Macaca fascicularis: one gene and its partners. The protein of the gene in region 2 interacts with the protein of the main gene of each other region in a biochemical or structural test. Links are inferred from orthologs where the notes say so. Each region holds a gene or a part of one and is shown on either strand. Other genes may lie near its edges.

Region 1 (4,400 bases), on a different chromosome or scaffold from region 2:
TCTTCTTTACTTTCTTATCTTGTAACTTCATTCCCCCTCCTTTTCCCCCCTCTTGACTCCTTTCTCTTCTGCCTTTTCTCTGACCATTCTCTCTTTCATACTATTTGTTTTCTTTTTGGGTTATTAGAAGGCTAGTTAGCTGCTCGAATTTCTTATCTACACTGAAAAGAAGCTACCCAAGAGTGTTCTTTCTGAGAACTTTTACAATATAAATCATTCCCCATTTACTGTTTATGTGAGTATGGTGAAAGTGTAAGAGAAGGGCAAGGTTACACATAATTACGTTGGCCATTTAGAAGGTAGGAGGGTTAATGACAAGACTGAAATATAGGGCACATAGGCAAATGAGATGATTTTAACATGGAAGAGAAATTAAGTAAAAAGAAAATAAAAGTATCTTGTGCTTTCTTTGTGATAACTCACAACACCAAAATAACAAAGATTTTTATCTGCAGTCATTCCGTATATGTATCTTGTCTCAACAACTAGATGTAAACTAAAAAGTACTTGTATTAAACTTCTTTATGTCCTTCAAAATGTAGCATAGCTCTTCATATACACCAGGTGAAAAGGGTTTCAATGACATATACAAATTATGAAATTGGTGACTACTTCAGAAACATTGGCTCAATTTGCTAGAAATTACTATCTAAGCATTTAAACAATGCAACTGGATATAAATGTACGCATACACATGCATACACACAACACATTCCCCCAAAAAGAAATAAAATTATATGAAAACGTGAAATTGGAAATACAATACTAGAGAAAATTATATGAAAACATACATATAGTAAGAAAAAATAATTTTCAGTCTCGGTAACTTAAAAATAATCAACAATGTTTTCATTATTTTCAGTAACCTAAGTATCTGAGAATTGATTACAGTGAAAAAGCAACCTGTGAGTAGCTGTGCAATTAATATTTATAGTGAGATATTGACTTATTATGTGTACTTGGGTAGGTCATGTTATCTTACTTATGCTTCTGTGTCTCTGAAGTGACAATACTATTTGCCTTTTCATCTACCTCCTCTGCAAAGATGCTCTGCAAATAAATGAGGTAATGTTTGGGGAATGTTTGCAGCTTGGGAAAGAAACCCACTGCATACATCTAAGAATATTCCATATTCAAGCCTGGTATATTTTGCCTCTGTTTTAAATTGAAATTGTACTGTTTAAGTTCTTGGGTTCTGACCAAAATCTGGGTCAACATAAGAGAATAATTATTTTTAATTTTAATTCTGAGTCTCTGTTCCCATCTCCTGCACGTGTGAGGGAAAACTGGAGGAAATAAACAAAGCACATAAATCAAGCTTTGGAAGAGAAAAATCTCTATCTGGAAGGATTTCTTTTTTTTCTTTTTCTTTTTTTTTTTTTTTTCAATGATGAGCGTGCCCACTATTTCCCTAGAGGAATATTTCGGTCCAGGAAGGAGGATAGTGCATTCAGTGTGAGAGTGTGTGTGTGTGTGTGTGTGTGCTGTGCGTGCGCGCCCGCGGAGAGAGGGGCGGGGGAGGCGGATGAGGAGGATGAGATCATAGTTTCAGGATCCTCAGGAAACCCTGGTACTGGCAGCAGCCAGCCTCTGCTGTGCCCACATGACCCACAACTCTGGCAGCGGACCCGGCACTTCCAACATTATTAAATAATAAGAAAGCGGCTCCTACTCCAGGCTCAAACCTCCCTGCAGACCAATGGACGCCTTCTAAGAGTTTGGCGAGTCGGTGACTGAAGCGCCCGTCCATTCCAAGGTGTGTGCAAGGCGTTTTCTTCCTTGACAGCTCCAGAGTGGGGGAGGGCGCGGGGGTGGAGGAGGTCCGTGTGCCGGGCGAGGAGTGGGCGCGAGGCCGGGCTGCCGCGCTGCCCACGGCCGCCCGGTGCAGCGGGGCCCGCCGCGGGGCGGGAGGTGCACATGACGCGCAGCCCCGAATGCGCAGGGACCGCAGCCGCCCACGGCGCCGGGGCGCGGGCAAAGGCGGCTCGGCGCTGGAGCAAGGGCAGGCGCCGCACACCGACCAAAGTCAAGAGTGGAAGCGGGCGGAGAGCGCCGGCGGGGGCAGGGATTCGCCTCAACGCCCACTCGCGGGGTTCCCACCTGTGCGCCGGCGCCGGCCGCGGCTAGCGCGAAGCATGTGCCGGGCGCCGCAGCCAGGACTGCGGCGCGGCGCCTCCCCGGGCGGCGGGCGGCGCCTCGGGCCCGCGGGGCGGCGGTAGCGGCTGCTGCAGGATGTCCGGCCTGGGGGCGCGGGGCCGCGCAGGTAAATCGCCGCCGCCCTCGAAGGCCCCCGCAGCGCCGCAGCCCCCGCTGCTGCCGCGGCGCCGCTCGGGGGGTGGCGATGGCAGCTGGCTCCCTCGCGTCGCGGGTTGAGTTGTTTTTGTTGTGGTCGCTGCCCTCTTGGTCATCCTCGCGTGCTGAGCTGGTGGGAGGTGGCGTGTCTACCTCCATTAGGGATGATACTCACGTCGGGGAACAGTCTGAGGGGTATTGACCGGGACATCCGCGATGGTTTCCTTTGCAGCCAGCGGCGTCCTCTCGTGTTGCAATGCACTGCGGTGCCCGGGCCGATGCCAGAGTGGGAGTGGGCTCTGGGCCCTGGGGACGGGGGGCGGCGGGGACGGGTGGGGACGGGGGTGAGTGTCTTCGGCGTTTATAGCCTGTTGCCCACTTCGAAGTTTTCTGCTGGACAGAGGGCAGGCGGGAGGTTCCTTCTGTTATCCGGAGTGGGAGGTGGAGAGAGGTGTCTGTCAAAAGACCAAAGCCAAAGAGAGAAGGGGGTGGCGACCCCGGGGCTGGGAATCAGTGGTACCACTCCTGGGACTTGATGGTAAAACTTTGCTCTTTGGCAGGCTTAGGGTATGACTTTGGGAAGATAACTGTAGAACTTGGCAGGGAGGGGGCAGAGGGAGGCGCAGATATTGGATGTACCTTGCAGTGAAGCTTACCATGCTTTAGGTTCTTACTCTAAAAATTGTCTTTTAAGTTGATGCTTATGTTTTCCTGTTATATGTCATCACTTGGCATTTAATGTGCTTGTGTTTCCTTTCTAATCTAAGAGATACTTGTACTGTTGAAGTGTACAGTTACTGATTTCTTTAAAAAAATAATGGTTTTTTTTCTTTTGCTTATTCCAAAGGTGGAAACTTTAGGAAAAAAGTGTTCCACATGTTCCACGGTTCTATATGGTTTAGATTGATTCACCGTCTTAATTCTTAGACCACCAGGGGGGTAGATAATATTAATAAACAACTTTTGCAGGTGAGAAAATCCAGGCACAGAGAGGCAAAATAACTTACCCAAGGTCATACATTTATTAAGTGTTAGAGTCTAGTTGGACTTTTCATGCGCCCCTAATCAACTCATTATACCTAAAGTCTTCTATATTGACCACATCTTTCTATGAAGATGAGCCTTAATAGGTATGTGCTGCATGTTCAGAATAATTAACTCTTTTTCCACTTTTTCTTCTTATTCTAACTTTCAATACTAAAATTATGGCAAATAATGTTTGAGTAGTTTCCTTTCACCACAATTAACCAAGTGTCCTACAATAATTAAAGTTGCATGTCCTACAGTGACTAAAGTTGCATTTCACAACAAAGTTGAGATTTTCAGCAGGTAAGATGTATCAACAAGGTAAATTATTGTAAAGCAGATGGCTAAAGCTATGTGTTTGCAATTAATTTTAAATTTCCTAGGTTATTAGTCGGTTCTTTGTTCAGATCATGGCCATCGTTTTCTTCAGAACACCACCATCTTGCAGATTTTTGAGCAAGTTTAGTTGTATTTAATCCACTCACTCTGGCGAGAGTTGGGCAGTTTTAAAAGAATTATGCAATTCTCTTTGGACTATCAGTGATTAGAAGCAAGCTGTATTTTAAGGGCATTCGAGTTTGTCATGTCATTTAGCCAATTGTATGTACTTTATACTGAATTGTGTAGCAGTGAAGACTGAAATCAGATTTTCTCATTAGTTCTAAGTTGAAATACTTTTAAAATCTCCACTTGTTTTAAATGAACCATGATGTGAAGAAAGGTCTCAATGGGGTGAGCTCCAACTTACATGGAGAATTACTCTCACATATTTAGAGAATTACTCTTCATTTGAGCTTATCATAGAGCTTTCACAATATTCATTTTATTGGGCAGATGTCTCTTAAGTCTTCATCTGTTATTTTTTTTCAAGTAAACTTTAATTGCTTCTTCACATAACGAGTTTCAAAATTATTTTGACATTCATAGATTTCCTTTAATTCTCATCTTTCACTTTAATTAAATTCAATATATATAATTTCAAACTCACACTCAACATTATAAGTAAAAAGAGACTAGAATCCAACTAAATGGCATGGAAACATGATCTGTGGATACGAGAAAAAATATTCAGCTCTTCAGTG
Region 2 (4,158 bases):
CAATTAAAATTAAGCCTTATGTTTTATCTCATACACATTTTGCTGGGGAAAATAGCCATGTTATGACAATAATATTCTAAAACGCAAAATGTATAATTAACTATTAAGGTAAACATCACAGTCTGACTCTATAATTTTTTTTTATTTTTGTCTATTACTCATTTCAGTCGCAAGCAGTTGAATGTTTGACATAGAAAAATGAGTCTGTCACTTTAACAAATGGTACAATAAAAACACTCAAACAAAAATTTTAGTAGGGATTATTATAACTATAAAAAGAATATCTTTCTTTAAAAAATGCTACCAATGTTTTCTATCAATTTGGGGCTCGCCTGTTGCATAAAAGTAATAAGGAACAAGATGAAGAAGACTTCTATTGGCAAAGAATGATTTACATGCTGAATGACATAATACAACTGCATTCACTTAATACAGAAAAAAAAGAGCCTGCATTCAGAACCATTAAATGATCATTAACTCAATGTCTAAGAAAATGGTGTTTTAAGAATTGGCAGCAGAGAAATGGAAGAAAGAATAATTTGTTAGTAAAGAAGTTTTATCATAATTCACAACTGAAATTTAGGATTTGAGAAAAATGTCTTTGCTCCATTATAAGAATATTCTTTATTTTAGCAGGAAAACATGTCCCATGAGACCTACACACACATTCTGCCTTCAGAATTCAGCTGCTGTGTTCTGCTGCTGCTTCTCTTATTCAGACTGTTGGCATCATCAATACATGACTTTTGCAATCAAAAATCTCAAGGGGAAAAAATAACTTTGGTAGGCAGTGGATACATAACAAATGCATAGATTATTCTGGGCATTTCTTTTTATTTGGTAGAGTGAAATTTTTGGTGTTGTTGAGAGGATAAAAAAGGCATTTAAAAGTCAATTTTAAATCGGGATTTTCTGCTCTGTTATAAATTCACATGAAAGTTACAGAAAATATTGTTATGGTTTTGTACTGAATAGTTTTTGTGTTTGGAAGGCTTTAAAAGCTAGTACTATGTCCACTGTGCTATTCTGGTTTGGATATTAATCAGAACACAGTTGAGCATTATTTGAATTCACAGAGCTTGCCATGCTGGAAGCACAACCTTATATGTAGTGACCATGGACAGTCCTATTATGGGAAACCAACTTGAGAGAGAAGGCGGGTCACTTGCTTGTGCGCAGGTCCTGGAATTTGAAATATCCAGGGGCCTCTACAGAATCCTGGCATCAGTTACTGTGTTGACTCACTCAGTGTTGGGATCACTCACTTTCCCCCTACGGGACTCAGATCTTAGAGGCAATTACCTTCAGAGAAAAATGAATAGGAAAAACTGAAGTGTTATTTTTTTAAAGCTGCTGAAGTTTGTTGGTTTCTCATTGTTTTTAAGCCTACTGGAGCAATAAAGTTTGAAGAACCTTTACCAGGTTTTTTTAATCGCTGCCTTGATATACACTTTTCAAAATGCTTTGGTGGGAAGAAGTAGAGGACTGTTGTAAGTACAAAGTAACTAAAAATGTATTTTACTGTGGCATAATGTTTAGTTTGTGACAAACTCACTAATTAGGTAGATTGATTTTAAATTATCACAGTAGTTTGCAAAGAAGCATAAATGTTATATATACTGCATATATATATGTATTTATTCAGGAATATATATTTTTCATTGGGAAAACTTTTCAATAGAAATTGAGTTTATAAGTTTTTCTTTGCAGAAGAATTAAACACATGATTTCTTGATTAATAAGCCACTGCAGTAATAGAATATGCAGAATGTCATTTGATTATAACAGATTATTTTGATTGCTGTGAGATAGTTTGTATATCTCAGTTATTATTTTGACTAGTTGATACTTCTGTATTTAGTAACAGTTACATAAAGGTTACTGACCTGACATATATTCTCAATTGAACTAACTACTGTATAGGAACTACATGGAGGCCTAAAAGTTAGGAGAAGTTTCTCTGACATATGGAGAAAATAAAGAATAAAATGAGTTGGGATGGAAAATTGAAGGATGTGAAAAGTATTGATAAAGATTTAATTGTAATGTTGCTTTCTCACATTTACTATTTCAAATGCTCTTTTCTATAGCATACCATGATGATTATTTCAAATAATGATGTGATCTATGCTATCAAATGATCAGATGATCTCTTGGGAAAACAACATACAAACTTGAGGAACTCCTAATTATGTTTAGTAGTAAATTATATTTAGTAGATGTTTCAAGTCTATCATGAGCTAGCTTTTCAGTTCAATTTTTTAGTTTGTCTTCCATATAGAAATGCAACTATTTTGTTTATTTTTAAGAAAGTCATGATGACTATTGAAGGATTTAAAAATGGACTGTGGCACAACAGTAAAAATAATATATGATAAGGACTGTGTGTCCCAAAAAGATGGGAGTTTATCTCTTCCCCACCTATCTTTGACTTGTGGAGTATAGTTATTCTAAAATAGATATGAGAGCGATGCCTATAATTAAGAATGAAAAAATAAGTCTCTCCAAATAAGTAATGCTCCACAACTACTAAAAAAAAAAAAAAAAAAGGCAGACGTTTTACCACTGTGAAAAATTTGTGGAAATAAGTTAACATTGTCCATGTATTGAGTCACATTAAAAGCTACCAGATTTTATAATACAACATTTAGTTACATTGTTTGCTTGCTTCATAAATTTCTTTTGGTGAGTATCATTATTGCTTTTAGATTGAAAAACTATTATATTTACTATCATTACAAAAATATGCATGGCATATATCTGTTGTTTGCAATATACACATATACACATATTTTTATTTATCATTTTTATTTCTTTGATATATGTAATATAAATACTATCAAAATCGCTAGTGATTTTATATATATATATATATTCTATATAATTAACCACATATACCAGTATATAGAGCAATTTTGAAAGAATATATGCAATTCTGCTGGAATGAAGCAAGGTAAACCTATCCTCTGCTTTGTCATAGATAGTTGAAAAACTTTCAGTTCTTCGAATGTGAAGGAAGGTAATCTTTTTGGAACATGTCCTGTAGGATTTTTTCACACTGCATTTAAAAAATCATCAAGTAATGCCTATGCAACATGACAATGAGTTTGTTAAGGAAAATGGAGATATACTCAGGGCTATATTATACATTAAATTTTGTTGCTTGACAATATACTACTATTTGGATGTCTGACATTTGAATCTGGTTTGTAAATTCGCCTTAGTTTGAAAAACTTATAAAAGTACATTTTGTTTTTTAAACAGAATAGTTACTCTGTAAAAGAGATCACTGTATTGTCAAACACATTGTATTGTTTACTTTTAGAATTACTCAAATAATGCATTGTAAAGAATTATTCAAATAGTGTATGGCAAATAGATATTTCATTTGAATATATTTAAATGATGTAAGTCATCTTGAGGTCTAACAAAATCATCTTTTAGAATTTCATTTGCAGAATCTTTTAAAGACATCTTAACTATGAAAAAGAGATCGCTGATCTAAATTGATGATATACTGTTAATACAAAGTTTTGGTGTATCTTACATGGCATAACATTATGAAAAATACAACAGAGTATGTCATATAGATGTTATTCTAAACTTTAAAAAAGACTACAAAGTGTTTTATGCATAATTACATTATTTAAGGGGAAATAGGTGTTGGTTGACACTTCTAGCTAGACAGTACTGAATTGCAAATTCATCATTTGGGCAGAGATATTAATACAGCTTCCTCTTTATTCCTATAGCATTCATTTGAAATCCCTGTACTCCACGTCATTTGCTATATATGAAACAAATTGTCAAGTTTTTAACCACTTGTGTAGTTTAATAAAAGAGATTAAAATCATTGCCTTGGAAACATCAGGTGTTTTTCAAAATTCTATTTTATTATCTTTCATCAAAATTTTATCTCAAGAGTAAAACAAACTGATTTCCCAAACTTTCCTTCTCCTCCCACTTTCTATTGTAATATTTTCCTAACTTATTAAAAATGATTTATCATACTCTTTCATCAATTTATTCTTTATTTCATCACACATATGAGAAATACAATATTTTGGTATGCGTATATATGTTTATATATACGCACATTGATATGCATTCAAATCACAGGGTATTAAGTTTCCTAAGAGGGTCTAATTAGAAATTAAC
Region 3 (3,650 bases), on a different chromosome or scaffold from region 2:
CGGCTCACTGCAACCTCCACCTCCTGGGTTCAAGCAGTTCTCGTGCCTCAGCCTCCTGAGTAGCTGGGATTACAGGCACACCCACCATGCCTGGCTAATTTTTGTATTTTGATTTTATTTTGAGACGGAGTCTTGTTCTGTCACCCATGCTGGAGTGCAGTGGTGTGATCTTGGCTCACTGCAACCTCTACCTCCCAGGTTCAAGCGATTCTGCTGCCGCAGCCTCCTGAGTAGCTGGGACTACAGGCGTGTGCCACCAGGCCCAGCTAATTTTTTGTGTTTTTATTTATTTATTTATTTATTTATTTATTTATTTGAGATGGAATTTCACTTTTATTGTCCAGGTTACAGTGCAATGGTGCAATCTTGGCTCACTGCAACCTCAGCCTCCCAGTTCAAGCGATTCTCCTGCCTCAGTCTCCCGAGTAGCTGGGATTATAGGCATCCACCACCACTCCCAGCTAATTTTTTGTATTTTTGGTAGGGACAGGATTTCACTATGTTGGCCAGGCTGGTGTCGAACTCCTGACCTCAGGTGATCCACCCGGCAGCCTTGGCCTCCCAAAGTGCTGGATTACAGGCATAAGCCACCACACCTGGCCCTTTTTTATGTTTTTAGTAGAGGCAGGGTTTCACTATGTTGGCCAGGCTGGTCTCAAACTACTGGCCTCAAGTGATCTGCCCGCCTTGGCCTCCCAAAGTGCTGGGATTACAAGCGTGAGCCACTTTATCTGGTTATTTTCATTTTTAGTTTTTGTGGGTACATAGTAGGTGTATATATTTATGGGGTACATGAGAAAATCCAAAATATTTAAGAAAAAGTGATTGAAGCACTTTGTAAGTTGCACAAACACTAGTGAACACCCAAAGCACTTAATCAAAAGATCCAGGGATCAAACTATAGCATTATGAATTTTGAAAATGATTCATTTAATTAATTAATTTGTTTATTGACACAGGGTCTCCTTCTGCCACCCAAGCTGGAGTGCAGTGGCACAATCTCAGCTCACTGTAGCCTCGACCTCCTGGGCTCAAGTAATCCTACTTTAGCCTCCCTAGTAGCTGAGACCACAGGTGCCTGCCACCACGCCTGGCTAATTTTTTTATTTTGAGTAGAGGCGGGGTTTTGCCATGTTGCCCAGGCTGATCTTGAACTCCTGAGCTCAGGTCATCTGCCCACCTCAGCCTTCTAAGGTGCTGGGATTACAGGCATGAGCCACCGAACCTGATCGAAAATGATGTACTATTAGTATTACTAGTGTCCCAAACTTCCAAGACGTTTCTCAGATTCCCTTTATTCTCCTATTCCGTTTTCCAGCACGGGGCTAGGCACCAAGGGAAGCCTTCAGAAATAATTGTGCCTCGATGCAACTCCCAATTGTCGGAGTATCTGCCTCAGTCTTGTCCTCCTTCTGTGCCTATGCAGGCGGCCGGGAGAACAAGATGCCTATTCTCATTTCCAAGATCTTCAAGGGATTGGCAGCTGACCAGACAGAGGCTCTTTATGTGGGGGATGCCATCCTGTCCGTGAATGGGGAAGACTTGTCCTCTGCTACCCATGATGAGGCGGTGCAGGCCCTCAAGAAGACAGGCAAGGAGGTGGTGCTGGAGGGTAAGCACGGACGTTCCAGGGTCCAGACGGGCCGGGTGGACATGTTCCACTGCTTCCCTACCTCCCCCAGGCCTCAAGAGGCCCCAGCCCAGCACTGGGGGCTGGGAGATGGGCAGGATTGAAAATAGAAACAGAACTTAGGGACCTGCCTGAAGACAGCGTGGGGTGGTGGAGGGAGAGCTGGCACAGAGCTAAGCAGAACTGGTTTGCATTTTCTGTCTTCCAGTCACTAGCTGTGTGGCCCTGGACAAGTCACTTCATTTCCCTGAGCCTTAGTTTCCTCATCTGTAAAACGGGGATGTAGCTCCTGCCTTTCTGGGTTGTTGCGACTAGGGCAAAAAGGTACATGGCAAAGTGTGCCAGCCCCTGAGTGACACAGGGAGAGAGGGGTGCAGACTGGGGAAGGGGCAGCTCAGATTATTTCCTTTGGGGCCTGGAGAGCTCTTGACTTCAGGTTCTTTTGGTTCCTGGACCTTAAAACCCTAAGACCCATCTTCCTTTGGGAGAAGCCTCAGCTTTTATTTTACTTTATTTTTTTTTGAGATGGAATCTTGCTCTGTTGTCCAGGCTGGAATACAGTGGCATGATCTTGGTTCATTGCAACCTCTGCCTTCTGGGTTCAAGTGATCCTCCTGCCTCAGCCTCCCAAGTAGCTGGGATTACAGGTGTGCATCACCATGCCCAGCTAATTTTTGTATTTTTGTAGAGACAGGGTTTTTCCATGTTGGCCAGGCTAGTCTTGAACTCCTGACCTAAGGTGATCCACCTGCCTCGGCCTCCCAAAGTGCTGGGATTACAGGCATGAGCTGCCACATCTGGAAGCCTTGGCTTTTATAGAGCAGGACATCAGATCCTTCCAGCGATGATCAGAGAGGAGTTTTGTGGTGGAACCTTGTTGGATGACTTTCTCCACTCTTCCCTCACAGTGTGGTCTTGGGTGGGACACTTGCCCTCTGTGGGCCTCAGCTTCCCCATCAGTTGTTATAGGCCTCCTGCTGAGGTTGTCCCACGACCATCTTGTGCCATGTCTCTCAAGAGGTTTCTGCTTTGCTCAGCCCTTTCCTCAAACTCTGTCAGCTCTGGAAGCCAGTGGAGGCCTGAGGAATGTGTCTCTGGCTTATGGCCCAGAACAGACACACGGAGGTGGCGGGGGCTGATGGAGAATAACACGGCCAGAGAAGCTGCTGAGTTGAGTCCCAGGCCCAAATCCTGGTGGGTTGCCTTGGTTTCCCTAAAGGAGTGTCCAAGAGGCCACAGAAGCAAATAGGTTCTGAGTCCTTGATTGATCTTTGGCCTTCTTGTGGCCCCAGACCTCAATTCCCATTCGTTTTTGTTTTATTTTATATTTTAGGTATATCTATTTAAATGTCATGGATACATTTTTCTTTTTCTTGTTTTTTTTTTTTTTTTTTGAGACAGGGTCTTGCTCTGTCACCAGGCTGGAGTACTGTAGTATGATCTTGACTCAATGTACCCTCCACCCGCCGGGGCTCAAGCAATCCTCCCACCTCAACCTCCTGAGTAGCTGGGACTACAGATGCATGCCACCATGCCTGGCTAATTTTTTTTTTTTTTTTTTTTTGAGGTGGCGTCTCACTCTGTCACCCAGGCTGGAGTACAGTGGCATGATCTCGGCTCACTGCAACCTCTGTTTCCCGGGTTCAAGCAATTTTTCTGCGTCAACTTTCCAAGTAGCTGGGATTACAGGCGCCCATTACCATGCCCGGCTAATTTTTGTATTTTTAGTAGAGATGAGGTTTCACCATATTGGCCAGGCTGGTCTCAAACTCCTGAGCTTGTGATCCACCTGCCTTGGCTTCCCAAAGTGCTAGGATTACAGGCGTGAGCCATCGTGCCTGACTTTTTTTTTTTTTCTTTTTGAGATGGAGTCTCACTCTGTTGCCCAGGTTGGAGTGCAGTGGCAAGATCTCAGCTCACTGCAACCTCCACCTCTCGGGTTCAAGCAATTCTTCTGCCTCAGCCTTCCGAGTAGCTGGGACTATACAGGTGCATGCCACCATGCCCAGCTAATTTTTGT

The links.
Region 1: the proteins of DMD (region 2) and DTNA form a complex in vitro, tested with the Homo sapiens proteins (3 studies listed by BioGRID and IntAct, with this or other methods). The link is inferred for Macaca fascicularis from reciprocal best matches to the Homo sapiens genes DMD and DTNA.
Region 3: the proteins of DMD (region 2) and SNTA1 form a complex in vitro, tested with the Homo sapiens proteins (2 studies listed by BioGRID, with this or other methods). The link is inferred for Macaca fascicularis from reciprocal best matches to the Homo sapiens genes DMD and SNTA1.

The regions. Positions count from the first base shown.
Region 1 is NC_088392.1:55,350,904-55,355,303, reverse strand, and holds the start of DTNA (dystrobrevin alpha), read left to right. Parts: upstream 1-1,542; 5' UTR 1,543-1,756; intron 1,757-4,400. UniProt on the Homo sapiens protein: May be involved in the formation and stability of synapses as well as being involved in the clustering of nicotinic acetylcholine receptors.
Region 2 is NC_088395.1:33,307,013-33,311,170, reverse strand, and holds the start of DMD (dystrophin), read left to right. Parts: upstream 1-1,223; 5' UTR 1,224-1,459; coding exon 1,460-1,490; intron 1,491-4,158. UniProt on the Homo sapiens protein: Anchors the extracellular matrix to the cytoskeleton via F-actin. Ligand for dystroglycan.
Region 3 is NC_088384.1:89,447,750-89,451,399, reverse strand, and holds part of SNTA1 (alpha-1-syntrophin), read left to right. Parts: intron 1-1,426; coding exon 1,427-1,612; intron 1,613-3,650. UniProt on the Homo sapiens protein: Adapter protein that binds to and probably organizes the subcellular localization of a variety of membrane proteins. May link various receptors to the actin cytoskeleton and the extracellular matrix via the dystrophin glycoprotein complex.